Oryzias latipes: one gene and its partners. The protein of the gene in region 1 interacts with the protein of each later gene in a biochemical or structural test. Links are inferred from orthologs where the notes say so. Each region holds a gene or a part of one and is shown in the gene's direction. Other genes may lie near its edges.

The links.
Region 2: the proteins of raf1 (region 1) and cdc37 form a complex in vitro, tested with the Homo sapiens proteins (2 studies listed by BioGRID, with this or other methods). The link is inferred for Oryzias latipes from reciprocal best matches to the Homo sapiens genes RAF1 and CDC37.
Region 3: the proteins of raf1 (region 1) and bag1 form a complex in vitro, tested with the Homo sapiens proteins (2 studies listed by BioGRID). The link is inferred for Oryzias latipes from reciprocal best matches to the Homo sapiens genes RAF1 and BAG1.
Region 4: of the proteins of raf1 (region 1) and bad, one has a biochemical effect on the other in vitro, tested with the Homo sapiens proteins (2 studies listed by BioGRID). The link is inferred for Oryzias latipes from reciprocal best matches to the Homo sapiens genes RAF1 and BAD.
Region 5: the proteins of raf1 (region 1) and pebp1 form a complex in vitro, tested with the Homo sapiens proteins (3 studies listed by BioGRID and IntAct, with this or other methods). The link is inferred for Oryzias latipes from reciprocal best matches to the Homo sapiens genes RAF1 and PEBP1.
Region 6: the proteins of raf1 (region 1) and phb form a complex in vitro, tested with the Homo sapiens proteins (2 studies listed by BioGRID). The link is inferred for Oryzias latipes from reciprocal best matches to the Homo sapiens genes RAF1 and PHB1.
Region 7: of the proteins of raf1 (region 1) and stub1, one has a biochemical effect on the other in vitro, tested with the Homo sapiens proteins (4 studies listed by BioGRID, with this or other methods). The link is inferred for Oryzias latipes from reciprocal best matches to the Homo sapiens genes RAF1 and STUB1.

What each region holds. Positions count from the first base shown.
Region 1 is NC_019865.2:17,676,193-17,680,620, forward strand, and holds the start of raf1 (RAF proto-oncogene serine/threonine-protein kinase), read left to right. Parts: upstream 1-1,441; 5' UTR 1,442-2,074; intron 2,075-2,375; exon of another isoform or gene 2,376-2,458; intron 2,459-2,533; exon of another isoform or gene 2,534-2,558; intron 2,559-2,602; exon of another isoform or gene 2,603-3,119; intron 3,120-4,428. UniProt on the Homo sapiens protein: Serine/threonine-protein kinase that acts as a regulatory link between the membrane-associated Ras GTPases and the MAPK/ERK cascade, and this critical regulatory link functions as a switch determining cell fate decisions including proliferation, differentiation, apoptosis, survival and oncogenic transformation.
Region 2 is NC_019866.2:8,382,975-8,387,334, reverse strand, and holds the start of cdc37 (hsp90 co-chaperone Cdc37), read left to right. Parts: upstream 1-1,469; 5' UTR 1,470-1,628; intron 1,629-1,709; 5' UTR 1,710-1,710; coding exon 1,711-1,818; intron 1,819-2,008; coding exon 2,009-2,284; intron 2,285-2,441; coding exon 2,442-2,547; intron 2,548-2,633; coding exon 2,634-2,749; intron 2,750-2,889; coding exon 2,890-3,012; intron 3,013-3,260; coding exon 3,261-3,443; intron 3,444-3,525; coding exon 3,526-3,597; intron 3,598-3,696; coding exon 3,697-3,822; 3' UTR 3,823-4,360. Other genes in the region: cmc4 (cx9C motif-containing protein 4), read left to right, coding at 130-187, 267-409. UniProt on the Homo sapiens protein: Co-chaperone that binds to numerous kinases and promotes their interaction with the Hsp90 complex, resulting in stabilization and promotion of their activity. Inhibits HSP90AA1 ATPase activity.
Region 3 is NC_019875.2:29,408,180-29,412,510, forward strand, and holds bag1 (BAG family molecular chaperone regulator 1), read left to right. Parts: upstream 1-1,331; 5' UTR 1,332-1,425; coding exon 1,426-1,462; intron 1,463-1,974; coding exon 1,975-2,103; intron 2,104-2,395; coding exon 2,396-2,478; intron 2,479-2,549; coding exon 2,550-2,663; intron 2,664-2,746; coding exon 2,747-2,854; intron 2,855-2,941; coding exon 2,942-3,004; intron 3,005-3,090; coding exon 3,091-3,180; 3' UTR 3,181-3,679; downstream 3,680-4,331. UniProt on the Homo sapiens protein: Co-chaperone for HSP70 and HSC70 chaperone proteins. Acts as a nucleotide-exchange factor (NEF) promoting the release of ADP from the HSP70 and HSC70 proteins thereby triggering client/substrate protein release.
Region 4 is NC_019876.2:12,866,414-12,870,831, forward strand, and holds the start of bad (bcl2-associated agonist of cell death), read left to right. Parts: upstream 1-1,459; 5' UTR 1,460-1,634; intron 1,635-1,962; 5' UTR 1,963-1,970; coding exon 1,971-2,118; intron 2,119-4,116; coding exon 4,117-4,331; intron 4,332-4,410; coding exon 4,411-4,418. UniProt on the Homo sapiens protein: Promotes cell death. Successfully competes for the binding to Bcl-X(L), Bcl-2 and Bcl-W, thereby affecting the level of heterodimerization of these proteins with BAX. Can reverse the death repressor activity of Bcl-X(L), but not that of Bcl-2.
Region 5 is NC_019867.2:3,465,799-3,468,950, forward strand, and holds pebp1 (phosphatidylethanolamine-binding protein 1), read left to right. Parts: upstream 1-1,451; 5' UTR 1,452-1,525; coding exon 1,526-1,660; intron 1,661-1,798; coding exon 1,799-1,908; intron 1,909-1,998; coding exon 1,999-2,099; intron 2,100-2,184; coding exon 2,185-2,402; 3' UTR 2,403-2,487; downstream 2,488-3,152.
Region 6 is NC_019866.2:5,517,554-5,521,738, reverse strand, and holds the start of phb (prohibitin), read left to right. Parts: upstream 1-1,379; 5' UTR 1,380-1,418; coding exon 1,419-1,493; intron 1,494-2,005; coding exon 2,006-2,099; intron 2,100-3,717; coding exon 3,718-3,879; intron 3,880-4,185. Other genes in the region: uncharacterized protein LOC105354523, read right to left, coding at 433-474.
Region 7 is NC_019877.2:8,954,508-8,958,924, reverse strand, and holds the start of stub1 (E3 ubiquitin-protein ligase CHIP), read left to right. Parts: upstream 1-1,563; 5' UTR 1,564-1,834; intron 1,835-2,386; 5' UTR 2,387-2,503; coding exon 2,504-2,617; intron 2,618-2,710; coding exon 2,711-2,909; intron 2,910-4,417. UniProt on the Homo sapiens protein: E3 ubiquitin-protein ligase which targets misfolded chaperone substrates towards proteasomal degradation.

The sequences.
Region 1 (4,428 bases):
AATTGATGGGGCGTTTTGCAAACAGTGAAACGCTTTATGCTGTTTTAAATACCTTGTGGGGGGTTTCGTGTGTAAATTGCCCAACACAGAACATGTGGCTCTGAAGCGTTTAGGCGCTCACAGCAACAGAAATGCCAGAGGTTGAGGCAGCATGAGCGTCGGCCTAGTCACGTTGATTTTTCTGCGCACTCGCGAGACCGTTGCTGGCTAGCGCACGCGAGCTCAGCTAACCACCTCATGACCAAGAAACGCGGTTCAGTCGACGATCAATCATCGCTGCCCAGTAAAAGGATGCCGATCCGGGGTTATTATCGATAGTTCCTTGCGCTAAGTGTTTTTCCAGGAGTATCAGATTCAATATTGCGTATAAACGAAATTTCCCGCCAGGGCGCACTCACCAAAGTCGTTGTGATGTGCTAACGTTAGCAGGCCGGACTACGAAGCCGATGCTGAGTTAGTGAGAGCAAACAAATTGACAGTAAGCCGTATTCACAACAAAATTAATCAAACGTCTACGCTGGTTGACATTTTGATTCATAAATACAAATGTTGCAAAAGACCTTTAACACCAAACGGTTATAATATCGCAAAGCCGTTTTATTGCTTACCTTTATGGCTACCTAGCTATGTCACTGTTTACGCCTCCTCCTCTGCGCTGCATGCGGTGCAGGCAGGAGTTCCTGAATTGTCATTCACAGTATCCAGTAAAAACTCGCCCTCTGATTGGCTACGTGCTCGCCAAGTAACCAATCACAGACCAAGAAGCCTGGACACCGCCCCTCCAAATAGGCTAATCGTTGAGATGAGACGGTCCATATTTTTCCCTCCTCCGCTAAATTAGTCGTTTTCTCTTCGCTTCATTTCAGACATCTAAAACATCTGGAAGTGCGAGTACCGCCCGTATGCTAGGAAGAACACCAAACATGGCAGCACTTTAAAGTTTAAGAGAAACATAATACAATTGAAGCCAAGCTAAATTCATGTTAAAATTAAGGGGGAAACTCTTTATGTAATTAACACATTTTTAATGTCAACCAATCTGGTTTTGGATCTACATTCATGCAATTTGGAAATTGCATGGAGGTTTGATTTTTAGTGGCTGAATTAAAAAAAATATTTTAACACTTTTTCATTAAAAAAAATTAAAATACATGAGAAATGTGAAAGTAAATAACTGAATAACTCCGATTTTAATAGACTGTAAACAACAGCTGTATTACAATTATCTTTATTCCAAATAAGCCAAATTTAAAGAAATAAAGTAAAAAGACAGATCCTTAAGCTGTTTACTGGAATTAAACTAATAATGGGTCAATTCAACCTATAGTTTATGTCATTGTTTGTTTGTAAAACAATAAACTTTAATATTTCATCAGTCTTCTATTTATTTTTGAGTATTGAAAGGTACACATGTCATAGGAGCTGAAAACATCTCAGCTAACTGTCCTGAGTGCTCTCCTAGATCAATACGTGGAAGAGACGCTTTCACCAGTCTTAAGGTGGATTTGGATGGAAAGCTTTCGTCGTTTGATTTGTCTAATATCTCATTTTTGCATCCTATTAAATCTGATCATGTCTAATAACTTGTAATGGATCGATCTGGATTGTGTAAAATGATGGATTTTATTCAGCGTCACTAAAAACAGAGTTGTGGTTCTGCATATGGGCTGGAGCACCTTAAAAGCCAGCCCCATGACAAAGCCCTGCCCCATCCTCACTGGAACACTGTTTAGTATTTCTGTGTTTCAGTTACTTCTGAGATTGGGTTAGAAAAGCCTGCTGTCGGAGAAGATGGGTGAAATGTGAAGTTACGGATAGTTACAGATGAAAAGTGTTTATTGGGAAAGTATAGAATAAACCTACAGCTTTGTGGCTTTATTGTCTTGGTAAAACTGTGCAAAGAGCTGCTCATGGAGATATCCAGCGCTCAGGACACAACACACTGCCTGGTATGATGATAAAACTCCTTCATTGCTTTGGAGGATACTGGAGCCATCTGGGATAAGGGGACCTCGGAGGATCCTTTCAGGCCAGGACGTCACAGAGATGATGATCACATGGTGAGATAAGTTTGGTATGTTTTCAGAATGATACTGCTTTAAGAATAAATGGACATTACTTGCCAGAAATTATTATGGTTAAAGATCTTACAAAGGTAGAACAAGTAATGACGTGGTTCTTTTGTTCTACTTGGCTAAAATACCAGTTTGTATTGTGATTATTTATATTACATGGCTTCACATTGTGGTTTATTGATATTTTTAGACCAAATATGTCAGTTTTGGCTCAGATTTACTACAAAGAAGCAGATAAATTTCAGGGTTGCAATAACCCGTCTGTGCCACCAGGTGGCGCGCTTGGAAATGTAATGAAATACTTATTAGCCATGAGCGTAAACCAATGAAGACCTCCGGTGTAAGTCCATTAGCTTTTTGCGTTTTCTGAAAGATTTGCAAACGTAAGTAAACATAAATGCGCTTTTGAAGCAAAATAGCCTAAACGAACACTTACTGGGGGATAAGAATGGACGAAATCCGGTGTAAAATATGACTTCACAGGTCTGTATTACAGACAAAACTGTTTCTTTTCAATTATTTACGAATAAAGCCGAAGAAGTGGGAGGACTTCGGCTGGTCCTCCAGCTGCGCAGTCAGCGTGAGCGATGCTTGCAGGTCTTGTTTTGACTGCAAGGTCTAGTTTCAATCCGTGGCGTCGGGCGGACGCACGCCTTCAAATCTAAACAATGTAAATAATGGAGCACTTGCAGAAACTAATGGAGGTTCGACTTTAAAGGTGAATTAAAAAAAATCTCAGTACAGTCTGACTTTTTATGCGAACAACATTTTTGTTCCAATTTAACCACCGGGAGACGAGGAAGAAGGAAAGTTTTCCGTGAAAGAGACTCGCCTGTGACCTTTATATGAATGCAACATTCTCCGGACGCAGAGGATTATTCGACACAACCGAACCGGCGGATACACGTCTCCCCCCGTTTCAGCAGTCCTGACGTTCTCTCCATCTTTTCTTTGAATGCGTTGCAAAAAAAAAATCCTGATGATGTCACCGACGCCACTTTTTCCTGAAGTTATGGCGGAGCCCAAGTTTTTGAACTTCTCTTGGTGAGCACGTACTGGCTGCAGCTTGCAGCATGTCTTGCTTGTGTTTGCTAGCTCGCGCGAGGAGTTAATTTACTTCCACGGAGCGCACGCGGACACAAAAATGGACTCTCGAAACGAAGGGAAACCGAGTACTAGGATAGCTTTGGACTTCACTTATTGGCGAAACGGTTCGCCTCTGAGGGCCTTCAGACTCTAACTGTTGTAACAGGAACTATAAGGCCTCACATAACATCACCGTTACCCACTGGTAGAGTTGCCATGTTAGACACGGTCTTCGTTTAATTCAGCTTTTATTTGTTAATGCTCTGCTACCTTAACACGTTCCCATACGTCATCAAACAGTGCTACGCTGCTGATAAAGTTTTTATCCACACTTCAAACTCAGGGTTTGGAGCTGATTGTTTTCATTGGAGTTTGAGTGGCGTAACCGCCTATAAAATTAAATATGGGGACTGTATTTCACCCCCAAAGTTAAATACTGTCTTGTGGATGGATAAAAGCTCTTGTCCTGCAGAGTACAGTTAAAAAAAAAAACTTTTCTGCATATTAATCATGGCTCCCGTGACAGCTAGCCAGTACTACTTTACAGTAAATATTGCCCTCGGAGACTGCACGTTTTGGGGTAAAACACAATAGAGGTAACTGGAAAAGGGGTTTTTTTTTTTGGGAGGGAGGGTGAAAGTAAACCGGGAAAAACACTACCTGTATGTGTGTATCTATATTTACAACATAAGGCCACAGTGTGCACTAGAAACAAAGCAGAGGGTTCGGTTGTGATGGTTCATCCCAAGCTGTGAACACTGACTCCAGTTATTTTTAGCTCTGCTTATTATGTGTGTGGTTTTAAATGGTACACAAATCCTGATTGTTATCATCATTCCTATATTTCAGGTCAAACATTGAACGTATATTTAGTTCAATTGTTGTCGTTGCACGTTGTGCAATTGGTTCATTTGTCTCAGATTTTGTGTTACATTAGCCAAAATGTCCTTAATTTTGTTGTAATACTGTTTTAACGGCTGCTGCAGCCCCCTCTGAAAGGGCCCTAGTCTTAGTTTAATCTGGTGAGGGCATACCTAGTGAGATTATATTTAGAGATGACCTCAATTCCAATTTTTGACATCTAAATAAAATGTTTTCCGCCTTAATAAGAGGCAAATGTTGCTGTCGGCTGAGTATTGCTGTTTAGCAAAAAAATAAATAATAATAATAATAAATAATAATAATTAAATAATAATTTTTCTCCACATGACCCAGTCTACATAGGAGGCGAGCATCTAACAAAACAGGGCTTTACTCGATTGATCAA
Region 2 (4,360 bases), on another chromosome or scaffold:
TATCAAATATTACTGGTATGTCTAACTTTAAAACCATGCCCCCAATCTTTATCCAATAAGTAAAGTTTAAGATTCTGCCCATGTTTTATTCATATCATTGTTTTCATTCTCACATGTTTTCCTTTAGATATGCCACAGAAAGATCCGTGTCAAAAGCAAGCATGTGCCATTCAAACGTGTTTACAAGGTACACATTGACGTTGTTGTTGTGCTCTTCTAATGCAAATCTCAAACAAATTTGTGAACTTTTTGTTCTCATCTCACAGCTAACAAGTATGTGGAAAGTAAATGCGAGGATGTGATCCGAGAGATGCAGCGGTGCTGTGCAGCGCAAACTGGAAACTCCGTCTGCTGCTCAGGTTTCAAAGACTCCAAACTGACAAACTTCAAACCGAGCAAAAATAGCTGACACCACCTGCTGATGACTTGCATTCAATGGAAATAAAAAGTATATAAAATTGTCTAGTTCATCTTCTTTTCTCTGTTAGATTGAACATTTTCTAGCTATTTTATTCAAACGTGTTGTCACAGGTTATGATCGCAACACCGGCGATGAAGAAAAAAGGAAAACATTCACAAACTGATCTTGTTTTCCTTTCTTAGAACTTGAACTTTTCCTTCTTGGGAACGGACAAACTAAATTATCATCTATCAGTCTGGAGCACACATCTATATCTGAAACATAACTATATAAAAATCATATCTGGCCATTTATATCAAGAACGAAAAATAGCAGTAAGCAAATGAATATCATACTCTTAGTTTACCATATTACGTAGGTACATTTTCTAAATCTTATATGTAAAAATAATAATCTTCTAATATGTGTTCAGATCAGCATTCTAATTTATTCTTAATTCGCCTTGAAAAATGTAATCATTCGGGTCATGGTGCTTTTCTTTCTTTTTTATATTTAAATATAATTTCCCTTTTCTTTAATTTTTATTGAACAATTGCAACATACAGAACAAAGAAATGCAACAATTATGCACAGATAATGTACATTACAATTCTGAATACAGAATAAACGTGTTACATGCTTAAGAAGATTCTAATTATTTCTAACAATCACAAAAGGGAATAAAAAATTAAAATAAATAAAGAAAATAGAACTAAACATAGAAAAAAAATGATAAAATAAAAAGAGAAAATGCGAGAGTAAACTTGTGTTATTATTCCAAAAGATTTACAAATGTTAATTGTTTTTTGAGCTTTTGTGTTTTTTGAAGCTGAAATTAAGTTTAAATATTGCTGCAGTTCCAGTTTTAACACAAATAAATCAGTTTTTTATAGGAGAATTTGCTTTTATGAATATCAAATTTAGCCATAAATAACAACATGTTTATACAAAAGAAAGCATCACAGTCTTTCAGATTAAAACTATGAAAACCAAATATTTTCCGTTTTTGGTCATTGTTTCCGGTGTCTAAATTACGACGTACAATGTACGCGCCTTACGTATGACGTAAACGGAAGCTTTGGGGAGAATTTCTTCTAGAACTCTGTAGCAGCTTCCCGTTAGCTCTTGCTTGGGAGTAACAAATCAATTCGCACGACCAAATTTGGAGTACAGAAACACAGAGCACCAACACACATTTCTGAAGGGTTCGAGTGTGAATATTTCTTAGGTCGGTATTTTAGCGAGCGTGATTTAGACGCCAACTTAACCGAGTTCTAGTCGAAGCTAGCGCTGCTTCTTCTTGCTGCAGGATGTCCAGGATAGATTACAGCGTGTGGGATCACATTGAGGTATCGGATGATGAAGATGATACCCACCCAAATATTGACACTCCCAGTCTCTTCAGATGGAGACACCAGGTAAATATAAAAGCTTTTCGGAAAAGTGCTTAGCGTGATCGTTAGCTTTCACTTTCTGCTTGTAATTCTTCAGCCATGCTAATTTTCCTACTTACTTCGGATTCCTGAATTTGAACTCAAACTGGACAAGAGCTGATGAGTATTTGAAATTGTTTACACATGATGTTCACGCGTGTGATCTGTTCCTTAGGCGCGCGTGGAGCGAATGGAAGAATTCCAGAAGAAAGGCGAAGACCTAAAAAAAGGACTCGCCGAATGTCGGCGTAAACTCACGGAGTTACAGACAAAGATCCAGGACCTGAACCTTTCCGATGGTGTCAAAACAGAGCTCACCAAATACCAAGCCGATGAGAAGAAGCTGAAAAAAGAGGAGCGGGACTGGGAGAAAAAGCTGGATGAGTACTACAGGGAGGAGAAGAAGATGCCGTGGAACGTGGACACACTCAGCAAGGAAGGGTTCAGCAAGGTGACTTCTATATGCAGATAGAAACCTGTGGTTTTCTAGCAAGAGGTTGGAAAATCCAATGAAGCTCACATTAGTCCGTTGACATTTTATAAACAAAGTAGTTATTTCAAATCAATGCTAGATGGTGTCAAATCTTGATCTTTGTTCTCGCTTATAGAGCATAGTGAACATAAAACCTGAAACTTCGGAAGATACGGAAGAAGAAAAGGAGAAAAAACACAAAACATTTGTTGAAAAACACGAGAAGCAGATTAAACATTTCGGTAAGCCTGAGTAACTTCCATAAGGTCATTCTGTTGTCTTTTCCCTTCTTTAAAAACAATTTAAGTCTATTTTTATTAACTTACAGGGATGTTGCGACGATGGGACGACAGCCAAAAGTATCTCTCTGACAATCCTCATCTTGTATGTGAAGAAACCGCTAACTATCTCGTCATCATGTGCATTGATCTGGAAGTTGAGGAGGTAAACACATATACTTATATTTTTATTTTATATTCTTGTATCTTTGTTTTTTAGCATATCTTCTCCTCAAAGTGTGTGCTCCTGTTTGCAGCTGTTTAGGTTTTTCATTTCTTAGTAAAGCTTTGCTTTCCTATTTGCAGAAACACGCACTGATGGAGCAGGTGGCCCATCAGACCATTGTCATGCAGTTCATTCTTGAGTTGGCAAAAAGCCTCAAAGTGGATCCCCGCGGTTGCTTCCGTCAGTTTTTTGCAAAGATTAAAGTAAGCAAGTTTATTTAATTTTATTGTGTTTAATTGCTCTGAACTTATTCATTTTAAAGAAGATGTTTGGGCAGGAAAAGAAAGGGTGCTTTCATAAACAAGCAGTACAAAAATCAAAGGCAGTCTGTCTGTTATTCCTGGACTAAAACAGATTATTTTAAAAGTCCTTTTTTTTTTACCAGAAGTTTCTGTAAAATTTTATACTTCTGGTTTGGAATGTTCACATTTGTTCATTTGTTTTCTTACAGACCGCAGATCAGCAATACCAAGATGCTTTTAACGACGAGCTTGAGGCGTTTAAAGAACGGGTGAGAGGAAGAGCAAAGATTCGCATAGAAAAGGCCCTGAAAGAATACGAGGAAGAGGAGCGGCAGAAGCGGTTGGGGCCTGGAGGCCTGGATCCAGTTGAAGTGTATGAGTCGCTGCCTGCTGTAAGTGCATTCTAACAAGCAGGGTTTCATTTTTTGTCTCTATTGAGTTTGAAATGCTCACATAGTTTGCCTTCAACCACAGGAAATGCAGAAATGCTTTGATGAGAAGGACATCCAAATGTTACAAGAAGTCATCAGTAAAATGGATCCAACTGTAAGCTATACAGTTTTGTCTGGTTGAATCTTTTTGGATTTAGGTGCTTTTTTTTTTTTTAAGAAATCCCTGTTAACATGTGACTGTCGTGTCTTTTAGGAGGCAAAACATCATATGAAGCGTTGCATTGACTCAGGTCTGTGGGTCCCCAACTCTGGGGAAGGAAAGGAGGAAGAAGGGACCTATGAAGAGGTGAAACGGGAGCCGGAAGAAACAAAGGAGTGATCACAATGGATTTGTTGTTTGCAATTGTATTCACTTACTGTACCCCAGTCTCATTTAATGTAAAACAGCTTGCCAATAAACACCATCATTTCTTTAAACTTTTTGAGTACAAATTTGAATTATAAATGTGTAATAAGTCACATATTTGAAACAACAAAAACAAACTGTGTTTCTGCATCGCCTGAGCTGAATGTTTTTCCTTCATTTGTTATGCTTTGTTGGTATTGGTGCATAGTTGCAAGCTTAAGTCTAACATTGTCACATTTTTTTGCAACAGATATTTTATGTGACATTTGTACAACATTCACCGTTAAGTTCCAATGTTTTGATTTTTTTTTTTTCTTTCCTCCGGGTCTTTTACATTATTCAGGACAACAAAAACATTGACTTGTGCTCAAATAATCATTCAAACTGCTTGATTGATGAGCTTTATAGAACAGCTGGTAAATGAGGTTTCTAAGAAAAATAGTAAGGGTTACTGCTGTCAACTCCAGGCCAACGACAGTTGATCATGTTCGGTTCTGTTTATCCTAAATGA
Region 3 (4,331 bases), on another chromosome or scaffold:
CGGCGTGGGTCTTTGGGCTAGACCCTCTATCCTAGTGTCAAACTGTGTAGCCACAAGGGGTTGCACGTCTAGTATAATAAATATTTACTATTTTTACAAAGAGTAAGTAGTAATTTCCTGCAGTAGATCTCCATCCACTATAGTAAACAGTGAGTTACTATTTGCAAATAGAGTTAAAAACTGAGCGCACGCCGTTTCTTTAAACCAAAAGAACATGGACTGGACATTGTTTCCCACAATGCATTTCATTTTTGTAGTTAAATTGGACGTGTAAGGGCATATACATATATAGAAAACAAAATACCTTGTCTCTAGAGTCTAGAGGGACTCGAACTTACAATCTTTGAATCTCTTGTCAACGATTTATTTAGACATCCACTCTGCAAAAGCTGCTTGTTGATAGAGTTCAAGCTCGCTAATTCTTGGAATTGATTTCCAATCAAATCACACATTTTTGCTGATGGGGTTACCTGTTGCAGGTGCTAAAGGTATTTTTCATTTGGTGGTTTATACTAGATGTCCTCCGTTGTAGGTAAACCAGCTGTGTTTTTCCGCTAATGGAAACGTGTAGTAAAATAACAAGTAAATCCCCTTTAATCTAACAATTAAAAAGTTATTTATGTGTGTTCATCTTTTAAATCAACAGTCAGATTTTTTAATATTGTCAATACATCTGTATTTTTCACATAAATAATTTATTTTATGTTATTCTGCTGTAGTACATTAAATAGACCATTATGATGTTTTAATGTGCAAAATCTCCAAAGTTTAATTTAGTGTATATTTCCGTTAGTAACAAATGTCATATACTATTAGGCATGCATATTTCACACATGGCAGAAGAGATCATGAAAGCCACGAGGCCGACATAAAACCTCCAAAATCGCACACGTTCCAAGCGGGGCTCGAACTTGCAACTTCAGGGTGTGTGTTATGAAAGTTGGAAACTTTATATCGACTTACGGGCGCTGTCCTTTTCCCACAATGCATCACGTGTTTGTAGTTAACGCAGTATTTGAGGCGCATAAACTGTAAAAGTAAAAAAGTGCGACTCTGGTGGGACTCGAACCCACAACCTTTGAATCTCTTTTGATCGATTTAGCTAGAAGTCCAATGCGCTATCCATTGCGCCACAGAGCCGGTTGGTCGAGTCAAGGTCTGCATAGAAAGCAAAATTTTCAACATTCGTGACTGACTGTCGGCGTTGGAAAGTTTAAGGATCAAACATTCAAACAGAAAAACACGCTTCGACATTATTTTTTAAATCTGTCTCTATATATTTATACGTATGTATATGGATAAAAAGGACCTTTTGAAATGCAGCGGAAAATCAGTCCGTCATTTCCGGTGCTGACCGGAAGTAGTTAGCTGTTAGCGGAGATAGCCGGGTGACTTGTGTTGAGGTTGAAGAACAAACACAAAGACATGTCTGATCAAACGATAAACCTGATAGTCAACTACGGTAAGAAAACGTTTTGAATTTTAAACAAACGGAGACTGAAGCGGCTCCGAGTCTTAGATGTGACTGTAGCTCAGAAATCCTTTGCTTGTTGTTGTGTAGCCCAAACGCAAAAACCGGTTCTAGGAAAAACTTCTGCTGATCATGATGTGAAATGAACTATTTACTGTTAGGCATTGAATGTCTCAGCAAACTGCTTTACCTGTCTGCTCAAAATTCGAATTATGTTCATTTTTAATTGTGGATTCATAACAAATATAACGTGTCATCAAATGCTAAAAATAGCAGAAAAAAGGTTCAAATCAAAAGACTAATGAGGATCAGACTCTACAAATGGGTTTGATTATAATAAACTTTCAAGAAGTCTCACTTCATTACAGATTTTAAATGAAATAAATTGTAATTGATTAATTTTTGTTGGCTTCACAACTGAGGTTTGGCGATATGAATTCACACAAACCTGTTTTATTTATGTTCACAACGTTATGACAACTGCATGAATGTCTGTTGATCAGGTTCAGTAAAACACAACATCAAACTAACGAGTCCAGATGACGGCAACGGGCCGGCAGTGAAGGATTTATCAGAAGCTGTCTGTCAGGCCACCGGCGTTCCCCCCGCCTCTCAAAAACTCATCTTCAAAGGTTTGGGTTTGACCTACATTCTTTTTTTTTTTTTTTTTTGAATGCATCCCATAATTAGGCCTTGACTCCATGTCGCGGCATTGTGATAGTTTCTGAAAACGAAGATCTAAAGTGATCAACCAGCTGAGCGTTGTTGCAGTGTCGTGGTGATGCAGACAAAAACGGTTGTCGTGGTTACCAGTTTCTTTAATTTGCTAAAAACTATACATAAGGAAGACCAAATCTTTATTTCTGTATTTTCTTTGACTTGGTGCGTCTGCAATTTTTTGCTAACATATTCTTCTTTCTTCAGGGAAGTCTCTGAAAGAGATGGACGAGAGGCTTTCCACCTACGGGATCAAAGACGGCTGCAAACTCATGATGATCGGGAAACGGGTAAGACGCTCGGGCGCCGCCCCTGATTGAGTTGGCGTGCGCACATCCCACTGACAACGCTGTACAAACAGAACAGTCCGGAGGAAGAAGCTGAGCTGAAGAAGCTGAAAGACATTGAGAAGTCGGTGGAAGTGACCGCCAAGAAGCTGGAGAAGGTGGACGGGGAGTTGACGGGACTGAAGAACGTGAGCCACAGATCCTGGAGGGAGAAAAGCATCGTCAGATGGGTCGTTTCTTTGAGGTTTCACCTCTTTTCTTTGCTCTGCAGGGCTTCTTGGCCAAAGACCTCCAAGCTGAGGCTTTGAGCAAACTTGACCAGAGAGTTAAAGTTGCTGCTGAGCAGTTCATGAAGATTCTGGAGCAGATAGACGCCATAGTAATCTCTTTTTGGATTGAGCTTTTTATCCCTCGAGTGTTGGTCATTTCTAACACACTCCTCTCTCTCTCTCTCTTTCCTCTAAAGTCTGTCCCGGAGAATTTTAACGACTTCAGAGTGAAGAAAAGGGGCCTCATAAAAACCGTGCAGGTTAGCCAGTAGGTTTCTTTTTTTCTGCTTTTACTGACGACGCTAAAAAAAATTGACTCCTATTTTTCTGTTTTTCGTGGCCTCAGGACTTCCTGGCCCAGTGCGACAGGCTGGAGGCGGGTATATCAGACCACCTATCAAAGACCCAGTCCAAGAACTTGGCTCTGGCAGACTGAAGCTGCTTCCCTTACTGTGTGCTATCTGTTGCTCTGTGAGCAAAGTGTACCAACGGCTTCAGATGTGGAGCAGATTTTATTTATTTCTCGGTGTGATGTGCTTCATAACGAAAGGAGACTTTGCTGAGATCATGAGGGTCAGCCGTAGGTGAAGATGCGTCTCAGACTCAGACATGGACTGGAGCGTCGGTGGTGCTTTGATGTTTACCGTAGATCAAATCCTCCGTCTGTCCTGTGGCGTTTTCCTCCCATCGGCCTTCAGCTGTTCCTCTCGGTCGCCGCCAGCCTGATCCACAGAAGTAAGTGAACCCTCTTTAGATGTTTCCACCACGTCAACTTGAAGAGGTTTGTGAATTTACAGAGTTGTATTTTTGTTATAAAAAAAGGAGAAAGTCAAATTAGGCAAATCACATCATCATCAACTGACTTCTACTGTACATGTTCATCAAAATCACGACGACTGCAGAAAAATGAATAAATTTTAAGCCAAAAAGACAGATCTCCAATGTTTGGACGTTTATTTCTGAAGTCCCGCTCCCATCATCTTCTGATCGATTTTCCCAGCATTCCTTAATGATGATGCCATTTTTAGCCAAAATCAGAGTAAGCCAGCCCCCACTTCCCATCGCCCATCCTTTTATACAGTGAGCTTAATGGAAAGACCCACTCTGGGGAAACTGGTGTGTTTCTTTAACCTCTTCTTGGGGCATTTTTCTGATGATGGAGGACAAATATTTAAAAGAAATTCAGCTTAAATTGCAAATCTGAGGATTTCTTTATTCAACTTGTTGTGAATCAGGAGCAGGCGAAAAAAAATGACGCTTGAAATCAACCCAAGAGACCCTGTGATCGCAAGGTCATCCGCTCTGGAACACGGCGCCAAGTCATCCACCGTTCGCTCCAGGAGTTCCATCCTTAGATCTTTTTGATCGATGATGGCCTTTGGCTCCTGGGTCTCTTCTTCCACAAGGTGTTTTCAGATGTTTTACCACTTCACTGACGACCTTTGACATGAAGTTCAGAGATTCCTTAATATCTGCAATTTCAGCAGCTAATTTGGTTTTACTGGTCATGTTGCTCCGAGTCTCGGTTAAAGATGAAGCTGCTCTGCTCAGTCCTCTTCTTTTTGGACACAGTAACTGCTAATCGTC
Region 4 (4,418 bases), on another chromosome or scaffold:
AATCAGCTGTGTCACAAGAGAAATGTTCTTTTCAAACTAATTTTCAAGACAAATACTCTTGTTTTTGTATAGAATATCTGCATTGTTCCAAATATAGTAGCGCTGAGTAGAAAAATTATGTTTGTAGATCAAAGTCTATGCCAATAAAACCTGCTTATGAAAATTAGACAGTTTTAAAGGATTTTTTTCCATTATTAAATTACATAATAAAATAAATGGCAGACCTCCAAGCTTATCAAATATGTATTTTTATATGAAATTCTAAAATGAGGTTTCACTTTTTAAGAAGTTTTTTTAACCATTTCATTTTGATGACATTACTTAGAATGGAAAAGTTAAGAAAGTCAAGTCCTCCGTCTTTTGATGAATTAATTACTACTGATTATCGTACATAGTGGATTCTATTTCTCCAAAGGAAGTTAAAAAGTATCTGATCAATCCTTTTTGCATTTTTACCCTCTTCCCTTCTCTACTTCTGTACCTGTCCCAAGCCCGGTTGCTTTGAGAGGGTTGCGTCAGGAAGGGCATCCGGCGTAAAACATTGCCAAGACTACCATGCGAATCTTCCACTGTGAAGTGGCTGATTCGCTGTGGCGACCCCTGATGGGACAAGCCGAAAGTGAAACAACTGTCCAGAGATAGTGAGGAAACAATGTAGACTAGTCTGGAAATTCCTTCTGCTTTTGCTAAGAGGACGTGACCTTTTTGTAGCCAGCGATTAAACTTATTTTGTGCTTTTGCAATCATAGGATTATAGTTATTCAGTTCTCTTTGTTTTTGTTCTTTAGTTATCTGCAATCCCAAATATGTGACTTTTTCTTTGACTACTATACTATTTATGGATGTTAGAGCACATTGTTTAAGAGGAAATAACTCACATTTCTTTAGGTTTAGATAGGTCCTGATGCTTTTGAAAATGTTTCTATAACTTGAAGAAACCTGTGAGGAGTTTAAGAATAATGATTCATCTGCCAGTTGACTTACAAGAATGTTTTTACCAGCAATAGAAATCCCATCAATATTCTCAATTTTATTTATCTGCAGAAAACGTGTGCAACCAGAAGAAACAGGTATACAGAGACAGTACACCCCTGTTTTATTCCTCTCCGAAGACAGAATCTGCGACTCGAGTAGTGCCAGCACTCAACTTGTGACGTCGTGAGTTTTGGCAGAAAAAAAGGGGGAGGGGTGAAAATGAGGAGCTTTTTGGTTCTGCGCTTCTTCTCTGGTCATTACGGTAACCAGACCAGACAAACAAGTCCTAGCTCGCAACAGTGACGTCAGCGCGCTGCGAAAGTGCAGGGGCGCGCGGCGATTGGGCGAAAGCGGAGCAGGGGTGTAATGTGCCGCGGGCAGAGAACACCAAAACATTAACAACAAGCAGTTTCTGCCGCTCGAAGCTAACTTCGGAGACTCTTTCCCACCTCCGGAGCGGACGCCGCAGAGATTTCGGGTGAGAAAAACTACTTCCAGGAGGTTCTCTTTAGCTGCGCGGAAGGTGGAGGGGACCGCTTCCGCCCTGTATGAAGTTTCTTTTGTCCTCTTGCTCTTCGGTCAACAACAACACAAAACAAACGAGGCAGTGTGTCGACGAAGAGCACAGCTCGCGAGCGCGTTGAACTACGAAAAACAAAGTACGTTATAACATCTTAACGAAGCGCGTGCTGTCAAAGTTGTGTCCTTATCTCGTGGAGTTGTTATTTTTTTAATACCTTTGGACTCAACCACTGATAGGCAGCTGGGTGTGTTACAGGTAGACACATAATTCATTTAGCTAATAGACATTTTATGACTCTAGGAGTGGAAAGTTGGGCCTAGCTCAATTTCTATTTCATTTCGGCTTCAAATGTGAAAGAAAAATAGTATTTGATTTGTGATGGTCTTCGTTTAAAATGATCATCAAGCTTCTCTGGTAGTGAATTATTGGAACAACGTGTCCTCAAAACACCTTTTTTTCTGCAGATGTTACGATGGCAGCAAAGTTCACCATCTCAGACGATTCGGAGTCATCCGAGGAGGTAGAGGGAGGAAAACTTGACCTGGGAGCGGCAGCAGGAGGAGAAGGGGAGCACCTTCATGATCGACATTCCCTCACCCTGCCAGAGCTTCGACTCACAAGTAAGCAGACCAAAAGCATTATGGGAAATGAGAAGCACTTTTAAGAGTTGTTTGAGAAAATTCCAGTCTTAAGGCAGCAGGATTCGGATTTTTTGGGATCCTGAGGTGGAGCGGTTAGCTGTTTTATAGGGTCACTGTATGCAAGAACTGGACTGAGCGACCCCTCCCACCTCACGTTCCAAACAGGAAATCCCTGCTGGCTCCAAGAAGACAAAGTCTTATAGACTTCTATTGCGAAATAATCAACTATTGCTGACTCTATATGATCCTTTTTTTTAATAATTATATTTTTTTCTATAGTGCAAATTATTTCAGTTATAATCTGAGCCTTCAGATGCCTCAATAAAAGCATGTGGTTTCATGTCAAACATTTCACTGACTGATTCTCCCAAATGATAGGGCTGTAGACCTTTAACAAGCTCTCTCCTGATTGGTGAGTGGTTTCCATAGAAACTTTGACTCAGACCAATCAGAGTTTACTAACATTGTCCCACGCATTGCCAACATTTTGGCGACGACATTGACTTTGTTTCATTGGAGCTGGATGGACGGTATTTCCTCACTATACAGTGAATGGCTTGTACTTCAGTTTTTGTTAGGACCCCATATAGAAAAAGCTGTCATTGATAGGGGATGGATAATTTTCTCAAGGATAAACATTGTCTTTAATAAAGCGTTGTTGTTGTTTTTTTTATATTTATGAAATATAAATATGCAGTTTAAATTGTAGTGCCATTTAGATGACACAAAAAGAAATAGACGCTGAAGGAGAAACTAATACCTGCTGGAAGAACAAAAAGGGAACAAAACTTTTCCTAGTGGTAAGGTAATCACTGTCTCACCTAAATGTGAACACAATCAGAGATTGTGTGCAGTCAGTACAGTGTTTTCTTGTTTATCATGGAGTTACATTCTAAATATCGATAAAGTTTGATTCTTTTCATATCCAGACTTTTCTCTCTTTTTTTTAACTCTCAAATCTCAAGCCTTCGTAGAAAATAAGTCCAATATTATAGAATGAAAACAAAGATGTAACTGTGGCACAAATGAGATCCACAAGGTCTACAGCCAATCAGAACGCAGTGTGCTGTATAAAACAATACACATACTGAATTGCACTACAAAGATCCACGAAACAGTGAGACAGCGATAGATGAGCCGCGTAACAGAGTGGGATCACGACCCCAAAAACGTTAAATCTCAAGTTGAGTAGAAAGAGTTTGACTTGTTTTGTTTTGGAAGCTGCTGCTGCATGGAAACTGTCGACAGTGAGACTCTCTGGACTGTCCACACGATTCAGCTCAAACTGCGGATTCTGACGCAGAAAAAGGCAGCTTTGCACCGATCAGCAGCTCACTACTGTAAAGTTTCGCACGGCTGCTTTTCTATGCATCGGAAACAGCTGAAGTGACGTCAATTGTGCGACTGCTTAATGAATTACGGTCGTCGAAAGAGCTAAAGCAGCGGCGTTAAAGGGTTCAACGGCCTCTGGTTGGAGTCTTCTGAGGATGGAGCCGTCAGCATCTGCAGCTGTAGCCTACAATCAACAAAGTGACTAGTAACTGCAGAAAAAGTCACTATTTAACAGTTTTTGAAATGATTTAAAATGGAACAGAACCGGGTTGTCTGTGTTTGCGCACGAATCAGTGGAGCCTCACGGGACGTGGCAAACGTGGCATCAGATACTATTTGTCTGATTGTTATTTTCCTTATGTTTTTAGCTCGTACGTTTCATGGCGCAGCATCATTATATTTGACCAAAACTTTATTTTTTACATTTTTTATAAACTAACAGGCAACATAAAAAGGGGAAAATGAGGCCGAATTCCCTCACTGCTGCCTAACTCCCAATGCATTTTGGGATTGTAGATTCCCCTCATAAGTGGCAATTCAGACACAGCAGAACCCTTGAAGGGGTGTTTCCTCTGTCTTCAGGTCTCCCAGGTTACCCGTACTTTTTCAACGTTCGTTAACATTTTGTCCTTACCTGTCATAAAGGTAACGGGCGTACCAGGCTGAATTCAGAGTCCACCGCTTCCACGTACTCCAGAGATGAGGACCTCGCGCGGGAAGACGAGGCCGGAACCCCCACTGATGGGTTGGCCTTCAGGGGCAGATCCAAGTCGGCCCCTCCGGCTCTGTGGGCCGCCAAAAAGTACGGTCAGCAGCTCCGACGGATGAGCGACGAGTTTGACAGCCTGCTGGATAAAGGGGTAAGAGCGGGTGGCGAGGGGGCGGGGCGGCAGACGAGAGTCGCTTCCCGGATTTGAACGTGACATCTGCCTTGTGCAGGAGATGAG
Region 5 (3,152 bases), on another chromosome or scaffold:
TTACCATCAGTAACCTTAGTTACTGTGGTTCCAGCTCTTTTCAGGTCATTGACCAGTTCCCCCCCGTTGTTCTAGTCCAGTGGTCTCCAACCCTGCCCTGATTGTTTTGCAGTTAGCCCTGCATCAGTAATTACTTGGATCCGGTGTGTTCGGCCAATCAGAAATTGGGCTCACTTAATCCCGTTAATCGGGAATTACTGAATCGCGGTTTGGGGCAAAACAAGCGGGGCGGTGGCTCATGAGGAGCAGGTCTGGAGATGACAGTCCGTTTCCTCACCGTTTTCATGATCTTTTAGACTCCACCAGGTGAGATCTTTCATGGAGCTCCCGGTGAAGGGACATCCTCAGTGTTTTTGTATTTCATTTTGCTCCAACAGTTGATCTCTTCTCACCAAGCTGCTCGCTCATTAGTTCATCCTAGTCTTTTCAGTCTTTCAGTTGTCCAATCTAGTTCCCGGTATCCTTTGACAGCTCTTTGGCATATTGGTCACAGTGGACTGTTTAAAGGTGTGGACAGGTGTCTTTTATACAGGTAACCATTTCAAACAGGTGACATTAATAGTGGAAGATGGAAAGACTTCTAAATGAAGAAGTAAGGGGTCTGTGAGGGACAAAATTCTGGCGTATTAATAATTAAATCATCCAACTTGAATTATTACACAGCAATGAGATTATTTATAATATAGCACTAATTGGAATGGAGCAGGTGGATGTTGTTTAACCTTTTTTGTTTTTTTTTAGAATAACAGTTTGAGAAATAGTCAATTAATTTCATTTTCTTCCAAATAGGACTGGATTACATTAGCCTGGTAATAAATAGTTTTTATTCTAACTGTAACCACAGCAGAAACCGGCTTTGTATCCGTTTTAAAGAAATCAACTTGGAACTAAATCAGAGAAAGTGAAAGGAGCACGTGGAGTGGGGGTGGTGTTTAAACCCTGGGGGAGGACACCAGGAGGAACAGCACACTGATTGACAATTCTTGAAGCAAATCAAGAATCAAGCTGCCGTGACTCGACTGCGCCCTCTGGCGGTCACAGTTGGATTTGACATTGTATTGCGTTCAAATGCACAGAAAATGTAGGAAAAATCCGTGTTAGGAAATTACAACTCATCACTGCCATGAATTGTATGTAAAAATCTACAATTAAATTAAGAAATCTAAGATATTTGAGTATTAAAAACGGTGACTGATTTCTTATGTTATAAAAATACAATCTTTAGATGATAAGTATCAGAAATGTGCATGTCGTCTTAATAAATAATACAGTTCAACTTAAACATTAAAAGCCAGTGTTTGCAGCCCCCCCCCCCCCCCCCCCCAACACACACACCAGAAAAGTGTACATTAATTTATTCAATCTTCTTAGGAGATACTGTTGGTTATTTCGTGTTTTGTCGAACACGTTATGAAGTGCATTCGTATCTTAAATTGGTTTGTCCGTGTGGTACTTGAACGCATCACTTTTAGGGCTTTCTCCTGTGTGCAGCGCGCGCCTCAGACGCAGAGAGGAACGCCGCGAAATGCCCATCGATCTGAGCCAGTGGTCCGGGGCTCTGGCCCTGCAGGAGGTGGAGGAGAAGCCCGCGGTGCCTCTGGTGGTGAAGTACGGTTCTCTGGAGATCGACGAGCTCGGGAAAGTGTTCACTCCCACGCAGGTGCGTGAGCTAGCAGCTAACGCTAGTTTGGGGGGGAACGCCTGGAAACCTCAAACTGGGTCACAGTCAGCTTGCAGCGGGTCTGCAGCGGTGAAACAGCGCCCCCTCTCGGACACTGACCTCTGAACTCGTGTTTAGGTGCAGAATAGACCCACCAGCGTGGAGTGGGACGGATGTGACCCGAGTAAACTGTACACTTTGGCTTTGACCGACCCGGATGCTCCCAGCAGGAAAGACCCCAAATTTAGGTGAAGCTTTTTGAACTTTTCACGTTAAAACTGACATATTTTTAAGGCCACAATCGTAATTTTGCATTAAAATATATATAAAAAAAACAGGGAGTGGCATCACTTCTTGGTGGTGAACATGAAGGGCAACGACGTGTCCTCCGGCTGCGTCCTGTCAGACTACGTGGGCTCTGGACCCCCTAAAGGCACAGGTGGGACCGCAGCAGGTGGATGCATTCATGCAGATCGGAGGCCGTCCTCCACTGAGGTGGTTCTTTTTTTGTCTTTCCTCCTCAGGTCTGCACAGGTACGTGTGGCTGGTGTACGAGCAGCCCGGCAGCCTGTCCTGCTCCGAGAAGGTCCTCACCAACCGCTCCGGAGACGGCCGAGGAAAGTTCAAGATCCAGACCTTCAGGCAGAAATACAACCTGGACGCTCCGGTGGCGGGAACCTGCTACCAGGCCGAGTGGGACGACTACGTCCCCAAACTGTACGAACAGCTGGCCGGAAAGTAGAAACACCACGAAGGTCCAATATAAAAAGCTGTAAAGCAAAACGCTTCATCAAAGTCGCCTGCAATAAATCCAAACACCCACTTTCTTTGAGTCGTTATCTCTTTAAGAAGATTATTCTGCCCTGCAGGACGGCAAAAACCAGATCTTTCTAACTGCACCTTTGGACAAAAAAACTCACCAAAATCTGACCCCCACCTTGTTCATTTTGGGGGCCCAAAGTAAAAAAAATAAAAAAGAGGGACATCAAAGCGAGAGAAACCATACAAAAGAATTAATGTGGCCAAAACGTCTTATGGGGCCGAAAGAAATTATATTAAAAAACCACTAATGCAGGGATATCCAAAGCAAGTTTTGAAATTATGGGATGGCCACATGACCTATGGCTTGGCAGCCCTTTGTGGTAAAGTGTGAAATTTGGTGATTTTCGCATTTATATAGGAAAAGAGAACTTTAGTTTGAGTGATGTGACATGCCATAAGCACGTTTTGTTGACCTTTGACCCCTGGAAGAGGCTGCCATCTTAAATTAAAAATTTAGGCCTACCTACAAATTAAACTCTTTTTGGATCCATTACTTCCTAACCCAAAGCCTCATGGGGGGGAACCAACCCATTGAAATTAAAGGTAGATTTTTAGCAGCGTTAGCGTGGCGATGTCGCAGAAGTGGCGTTCATTAATTGCTTTCACTCCCCCCCCCCTGATTATTGTGAAAAATGAGTACACGAATCAAAGCAATATACAAGACGATATG
Region 6 (4,185 bases), on another chromosome or scaffold:
GATTCTTCCACCATTGAGACATGTTCACTGAACAGTTCAGTATAGTCAGGGAGCTTATGAATATAAATAACTTTATGTACATTAATATAAATAAGAAAACAGCAGTGATAAACATATCCACTCTTACATCCATAAACACTGACATCAAGTTGTTTACAAATCTGCCCAATCCCCAAATGTATTTCATTTTATTTATTTTTTCTTCAAATGTTTAGATATATACCCTTTTCTACTTTCCAGTAAAAGTTTTAATACAAAACTGCACGATCGTGTAGGAAAAACGACAGAGGAAGTCATACTGTCTGCTGCAGGGTCGAGAGTTAAGGAAGTAAATAAATCAAAACGATCGTCGTCTGTCGCAAAACCAGCGACCAAAAAAAAAAAGGTGAAGAAATGAACCGTGAATTTCAATGAGATGCTTTCGTTACCGACCTTACAAATGCTCCACGATCGGTAGTCTTCTTTCGCTAACATTTAAAGATGGTCATTCTTTTCCTCACAGCGTAAGCCTTACGCCGTAAGGAAAGTGAAACTGATTACGTGCAGTGCCGTTTTTGTCCGATAGGGGGCGACACAAGGCTATATGAACGTGTGTGTGTGTGTTTGTTTGTGTGTGTGTGCAAGTGACTTCGACGTTTCAATGAACGTCCCAGGGAGATAAAAAAAAGAAAATGTGTGAGTTCATTTATTATTTAATTTTACAATAGGCTGGCTATAAACAATATATTTTTTAAATAAATATGATATTGTTTTGCTGGACTTTGTCTTATTACACTTTCTTAAAACTTTTGTGTTGGTAATAAAACATAAAAAAACTTCCTTTTACTCAAACAATATTGTAATAGTCAGTATGGCAACCAAACTTTTAAAACAATGTTTCACGATTTTAAAAAGGTTTTGAAACATTTTAAATATTGAAAGTTAAAGCTTTGGAGAAAAATTTAAACAAGAAATACACTTGTGTCAAAATGTAGAAAGTCTTGAGTCTGTATCAGTTCTTAATGGGGTGTGCTCATATGATGCTTTTCTGAACAACTGTACATGCATTTTCTTAAATGTTTAAATTTTTTTAATTGGCTAAAATGTTATTTGACACAAGTATCATGTGACAATAAATGATAATGAACGTTAACTATATTTAGATTTATTTTAACTAATTTTCCCTTATTAATGCTGTATAACTTAATTATACTTCCATTCCTAACTTGAAATGTTTAAGGATTTGAGGAAGTACATTTATTGCCATCCATCCATCCATCCATTGTTCCCTCTAGTATTGTTGTACTGTTAAGTTTAAATATACCAGTAGGTGACGCTGTCAGTATGTTTCCACTAACAGTCTACCAGCATTGAAGATTCGTAGAAGAAGATTGACATGTTTTTGTCCAATCAGCGGCTTTGTTGCAACATTCTTGCGCATGCGCCGTAGAACAGGCATCCCTTGTGCTCTACGTCGTGTCCGGTGGAGGTCACAGGCATCCAAGAAAGCTAAGGTGAGTTATGTGATACAGCACGATTAAGCCTCGGACAACTTTTGAGATTTTTCCCTAAACATTACTTTGCACATTTTTAGGCAGTGCTACGGAGTTGTTTCAAGCATAGCTTTTATAAATAAACATGTTTGGTAGACGGAACAGCCCTGCTCAAATCCATCATGCATGCCCAACGTAAGCTAGCTTGCGTACTGAGGCACCACTAGATTGTTTGATAAAAGCCTTTTTGCCGCACTTTTATGTAAACATTAACGTGCCAAACTCAATTTTATCTGTTGCAACCATACGCTGAACCGATCACTGCGAAACTCATGTTAGCTTCTGAGCTAACCCTAGCCACCATCTCTGCCGCTTTGACATCATTCAAGGCCACATACGCAACCGTTACTGGATAGAAACTATTAAAACACCCACTTTCTACTGACAGTTAAGGCTTGGATGACTTGTGTTAGTCTGTACTGAAGTTGTTTTCTTGTTAACGTGTGTGATGACCTCGTTTTCATCGCTTCCAGGTTTCTGCCATGGCTAAATTATTTGAGTCCATTGGAAAGTTGGGTCTGGCTCTCGCCATTGGAGGAGGCGTTGTGAATTCTGCACTTTATAATGGTGAGTCTAAAAAAGAAAAAAACGAGTCATTTAAAGAAAGAGGGTTCTGGTTCACTCTATATTGGTAAAATAGCTCTCAATTTGCTTGTTGTCTTTTGTTTTTAGGAGTTTGAAATCCCTGGTTACTTGTTTAAACCCATTAAATCCCGCCAATATGGTATTGACACTAGAAACAAGTTATTGTTAACTTTGTAGCCCCATGTAAAAAAATAACTCCAGAATAACACAATGGGTTTTATGCAGTCTCTCCACAATAACTCATATTTAAAATGACATAATTAAGGAAAATGTTTATTGTTTACTTGACTGACACCGGTGGAGGATGTTGCATTAACACCATGCTGCACTGTTGACCTGTGAAGGGGACATAAATGTATTGCATTAATGATCTTTAAAAAAATACTTGAAAAATACAAAACTTAATGAGAAGCTTTGTAAGCAGTAGGTCCACATAGGCCCATTGTTTCTGTTTGAAAGGTCCATGACTAATTCCTTTACATTTATTAATAATTTCTTAATCTTTGTTTTAGTTATATTTAATTATAGATTTACAATAAACAGAAAACTATAGAAAAATCATTAAACCTTTAAAATACTAAAAAAAAAAAACATATGATAGTGCTTGTTTCTTTACACTGGAGAGGAAACAAATTTTTTTTCACACTATACAAATTCTTAAATTGGTTTTATCTAATGTTTTTATTCTTATTTTAGTAAAAAAGTAGTTTTCTAATGCAGACTTAAATGCAGCCAAGGTTGAATCTGCATCTCTGACACTGTTGCTAAGAAAGCTAAATCTCTGCTAATCTTAAGCTGAAATTTAAGAGGAACTAAAAGTAAGTAATCGCTGGATGCTGGCACCTTAAACCACCTAACCCTTTAATAGCTTTAGAAACAAATACAATCTTTAGGTCAATCCAAAGACTAACTGGAAGTCGGGCTAGAAAAGTGGAGATGTGGCTTTGTTTAAGGGATTCAATGACACATCAAGCAAACAAATGTTTAGTCCCACTGCAGGTAAAAAAGTGTCATGACTAACACCCATTATAGAGCATCACAACAGTATAAACAAGTGCTAGTAAACGCCTGCAAAGTCTAAGAAAGCTTTAAAGGGCTTATTCTTTAAAGTAGCCTTACGTGGAAAAAGCTCACTCCAGCAACCGATATAACATATTTGTCCTAATTAATGTCATAGTCAATTTTACATCTTTGATTGTCACAAATTCAGCTTTATTTACAAAACACTGAGGTCTCCACTGGGTCAAAAGGATGACTTTGAACCACAGAGTTACTGAGGACCATCTAAATATCACAAAAGTTTTACTTTCTTTAGCCAGGATGACCACCTTCAATTATTGAATTGTCCTTATTTGAAATAAATCCATCTATTTTGTTTTTGCATTATAAAAATGTGTTCTTTGTTTAGTCATAATTATTCTGTTAATTAAATTTTGTCAACATTGTGTATTAAACTTATAATATGCACTGATAATCTACCAGTGCATAATTCTGACCATATATTGGCCTCTAATAGCAGTTCTTTGTCTAAAACTAAAAGGAGCCCTTCCTGCTAAAATGTAATCATGTTTGAAATGACTGACTGTTGGTTTGTTTGTAGTTGATGCAGGGCACCGGGCTGTAATATTTGACCGGTTCAGAGGAGTGCAGGACATTGTGGTTGGAGAAGGAACTCACTTTCTCATTCCCTGGGTTCAGAAGCCGGTCATCTTTGATTGCCGCTCACGTCCACGCAATGTGCCCGTCATCACAGGCAGCAAAGGTACAAGTTCTTGTTTAATTTGTCATGTTGTGTTCACACTGAATGCAATTGACCCAGTTTTAATGTTAAGTCAACGTAAAGACATAATGTGAAGTCATGTGCTGCTTGAAGCGCAGTGCTCTCACGGCACAATTTTTCTAGAGTTCAAATATCTGAACTTTGGCAAAGCTTTGCATCACATAATCAGGAAGTCAGCTTTAATAGTTACATGTTGAATATGTGAGCAGCGGCTGGTGTCCAAAACCAACATGGAAGAAATCTAATTGTTGCAATCACTTCTTTAGGAAACATCGTATTCTTATTTGT
Region 7 (4,417 bases), on another chromosome or scaffold:
AAACATGACGGACTGCAAAGACCAAAATGTTATCTGCAGTTTCTTTGTGAGTTGGATGTCTCAAGAAAACTGATTCATAAAAAATGTTTTTAATATTATAACCGTTGCTGAAAAATCCCTTTGATGATTTAAAAATGTTTACATTTGTCAACTGAATCCAGAATAAGTATAAATGTATCATCAAATTTATTTTGGCACACATCTTTATTTGGCACATATCTTTATTAGAGTCACTACATAACACAGTGATGCAATGGTAATTCATAATATTGTACTAAACTACTTAATAACAGATTACATTAAAGATTTGACTCACATTTAAAAAAACGAGTAGCCCGATGATGCCATCTTCTGGCCAATACACTAGATTTCCTGTGCTGATCTTTTACAAGTGCAATGAGAAACCACCCAGTTGTCTTTTTCTGTATCTTGGTGTGTAAAATTGGTAGTTCAACTGCAAAAAATGCAAATATTTCTGATCATATTTTTTAAAATAACTCCTCTTTACACATTTCAGATTTGTATAAACGTCTCAAACAACCTCAGGTAAACCCATCTTTCCATTTCTTGCTCTCATATTTTTGCTTATTCAGATTTAAATGAGTGATTGTAAAGATGCATAAAAATAACAGGAAATATTTAGGTGTGGCTTCATTTCATTTTCAAACCATATTTGAGAAAAAAATACTTTTCTGAATGTTAAAAAATATATACGTTTTTTTTTTTCAATTACATTTTTATGCTTACAGCAGCATAAAAGCATAAAAAACGCAGTCTGCCCTGGACAGACTGGCGACCTGTCCAGGGCATCCCCTGCCTACGCCAAAGTAGCCGAGATAGGCTCCGGCAGCCCCGTGACCCCGAAAGGGACAAAGCGATACAGAAAAAAAATGAATTTTTATGCTTCTCTTAACATAAGCAAAGTCTCATGTTAAAATTTGGCATCAAGCTAATATAAAAAGTGAAAAATGAGTAAAGACATAAAAAGCACCAAATCAAATAGAACAGATTTATCATCTTCAATGCTTTTGGATTAGTGCAATAACAGAAGTTTAAGGAAGACAAAATAATAATAATAAATTATTTCCATTAATATCAATTATTTTACTAATAATTTCGAATCAGATATAAACAAACACTTTTATTTGATAGGGTGTTGTTATAGTATTTTGTCTAACGTAATGTAAGGTCAGTACCTATTTTCTATACAACTAACCATCACTCAGAGATAAGGTGTGGTTACTTGTATCAGTAGTCAGCTATGTTAGTTCTAACCACTAGCACTGATACCAGGGTCTTCTCACATATAGAAGGCCCCTGTTTCACGTTGTTTGCATGCTCTTCTCACAGCTCCAATGACCCTCTATGATTAATTTAGGATTAAAGATAAAGGGCTGGCATTCTATAAAGCCAAATTATGAGAGCAGTCCCAATACAGATGAGGGTTTGTTCCCACAGTACTTTTACAGAAATGAGCACAGAAACTTTACATTGTTATGATACTTGAAGATAACCTCTGCGCAAACTCCCATCAGGATTCGTGTGCTCTCGGCTTCCGTTGTTAGAGCGTAAAGCGTTTGACGTCAGCACCACAACATTCCGTCTTGACAGTTCGTACGGGTGGTAAAAATAATCCGTAACGATTTTATATCAAACTAAATTAAATCTGTTTGAGCTGAATGTAAAATTTCTGATTAAAGGTAAGGGTGGGTACTATGTAAAACTTTATTTAAGCCTCCAACAAACTGAAACGGACGTGAAGCAACTGTAATGCAAAAAGGCTAAGCTAGCACTAGCTAGTTTATGTTTTTTGAAGAAACCGAGCTGCGTTGTGGTAAATATTGAAATCCTTGAACAAGTAGTTATGGTTTTACTATCCTCTGCTTCAATTCACCAGAATCTACCCTAAATTAAATGTCAATAAAATTGATTAGAGACACAAAAGCTGTACTATGTCCCCAAACAAAATAATTTCAAGATAAAAGCTTAGCTAATTTTAGCATAGCATCGATTCTCCTCCTCTGTTTGTTTGTAAGTTAGCAATCTTATTTTTGTGTTTCTTGTCGTGTAACAATAATATACAATTTTTCGTTAACTTAAATATATTATCTTGTATCTGGTGTTTTTACTCGAAACCTGAGTGGATGTGTAAATTAATGGTTCTGGATTTTTTTTAAATAGCTGTGCTCGCTGATGGCCATCGATTTCCGAATGTGAATAGTTAATTCGCCGGCAGTCTAGCTGTGATTTTCAGCGGCGTGCACTGTCAGCAAACCCGAATGAATGCATTCTGAGCGGCACCAAGCAGCAGCGTTGCGCCGAGAGATCGTTGAAGAAGCAGCGCATTGCAGGTGCATCGCTAACTCAGCACGCGCCTGTGTTTTAGTGTGTGAGATCCAAGCCGGACGGGACGTTCTGAAAACCTGTTGTCTAGCCAGCCGAAGAGACGGGGAACAGGATAGGGAAACAGGGCGAAGCGGGCCCCGCGGAGCCGGTGGAGAAGATGGCCGGCAGCCCGGAGAAGAGTTCCACCGCGCAGGAGTTCAAGGAGCAGGGGAACCGGCTTTTCCTCTGCCGCAAGTACCAGGATGCTGCCTCTTGCTATAGTAAAGCTATTGTAAGCGTCTGGGATTTCTCATCCAAACACTAATGGCGAAGACTAAACAGTTTGCGCGTAAATACTCTTTATTTTCCCCATTGTGTCTTCCAGAACCGCAATCCATCAGTGGCAGTATACTACACCAACAGGGCCCTCTGCCACGTGAAGCTGCAGCAGTATGACAAGGCTCTGACAGATTGTAAGCATGCACTGGAGCTGGATAGTCAGTCTGTTAAAGCCCACTTCTTCCTGGGCCAGTGTCACCTGGAGCTGGAGAACTACGATGAGGCAATCGGCAATTTGCAAAAAGGTCAGAAACTAGTTTGATTTTTCTCTCCTAGCCGTTCGTGTCGGGTTTTCTTAATCATAACACCAGAACAAAGGATCACAACCTTTAGGTGTTGAAGATGGATCAGTTCACTTGTGCTTTTATTGTGGGATTCTAACAAAAAAGAATTTTCTGTGGGGATGAGAAAATCAAACTTGCACATGTTCTTAAAGGCACCAGCAGTTACAAATCAATGCATTTACCTTAAAACCAGAGCATTTCATCAACTTTAGGTACATTAAGAAGAAAATGACAAAATAAAAAGTATCAAAAACTGTAACGGATTATTTTTGCAAAGGTTTCCTGAACCTTCAAATGTATCAGACAAATGTAAGTCCATATGCAATCATGGTAGTTAATCTGTCCAAGCATATTAACAGAAAATAGAGTGGAAAGAAAAAAGACTTTCAACAGAGAAAATCCATGCAAAATTCTGATTTATTTCACCATCATCAGAGTTAGACGTTTTTTTTTGTTTTTTGTTTTTTACCTGGGCTCATTAGAAAAGAACCAGACAGATGCTTAGTGGTCCAAAAGTAAAGGTTGTATTTCATTTGGAGACGCACAGACCCGATGTTGCCTGAAGGGTCTTGTGAAGCTTCCACAGTCAGGGATGATGTAGGTCCATGTTTTTTTGAAGTCTACACAAAGTTCTGTAGCACTTCATGCTGCCTTTTGGTGTTGAGCTCATTGGAGCTGCAGATTCAATTTTCCTGCAGGACATGGGGCCCGCCCACTCTGCCAAAAGAACCAAAAGCTGGTTCAATTAATAGTATTACTGTGGCTGATAGCACATTCCCCTGACCTGAACCCTATTATGAATCTATTGTCTCTTGTTTGGAGGAAGATGAGACACCAGACTCAATAATGCAGATAATGTGAAGGCAGCACATAGAAACCTCCATTACTTCTACATAGAGCCACACGCTTCATATCCTCAGTGCATTGATGCAGTGATTCACATAGAGGAGCCCTAACCAAGCTAAGTGATAGAAATGAAGGCATTTGAACATTTAGGTTGTAAACATCTTTTTCTATTATTTTGATGATAAAAGCTAATATTCTGACACATTCTATTATTTAGATTAATTATCTTCAACGTTACAATAAATCAATGCTCGACATATTTCAATCAATTATATGCCGTTTACCATTTAATTTGTGTGTATAAATGTATGTTTGTGTGTGTGTGTGTGTGTGCGTGCGTGCTTGGGTTTTGATCATATTGTGATTTATTTGTCTTGCTGCAGTTTTGGGTTTGGATTCAGCACAGATAACTTTTGTAGTGATTAAGAGCAGAATTACATGTTTATTGTCTCACTACGCTGTTACACACGCCTGCAAACATACAATTCTTACATTGGTCTTGTTTGTCTCTGTGCCGTGTCAAGTGTTAAAAAATGGGCAGATGATCTCTGTCTAAAGTGAATCCTATTGTTTGCTGTTTTGGTTAAGATCTGGATTTATATCTGTTCTAATGGAAACTTCAC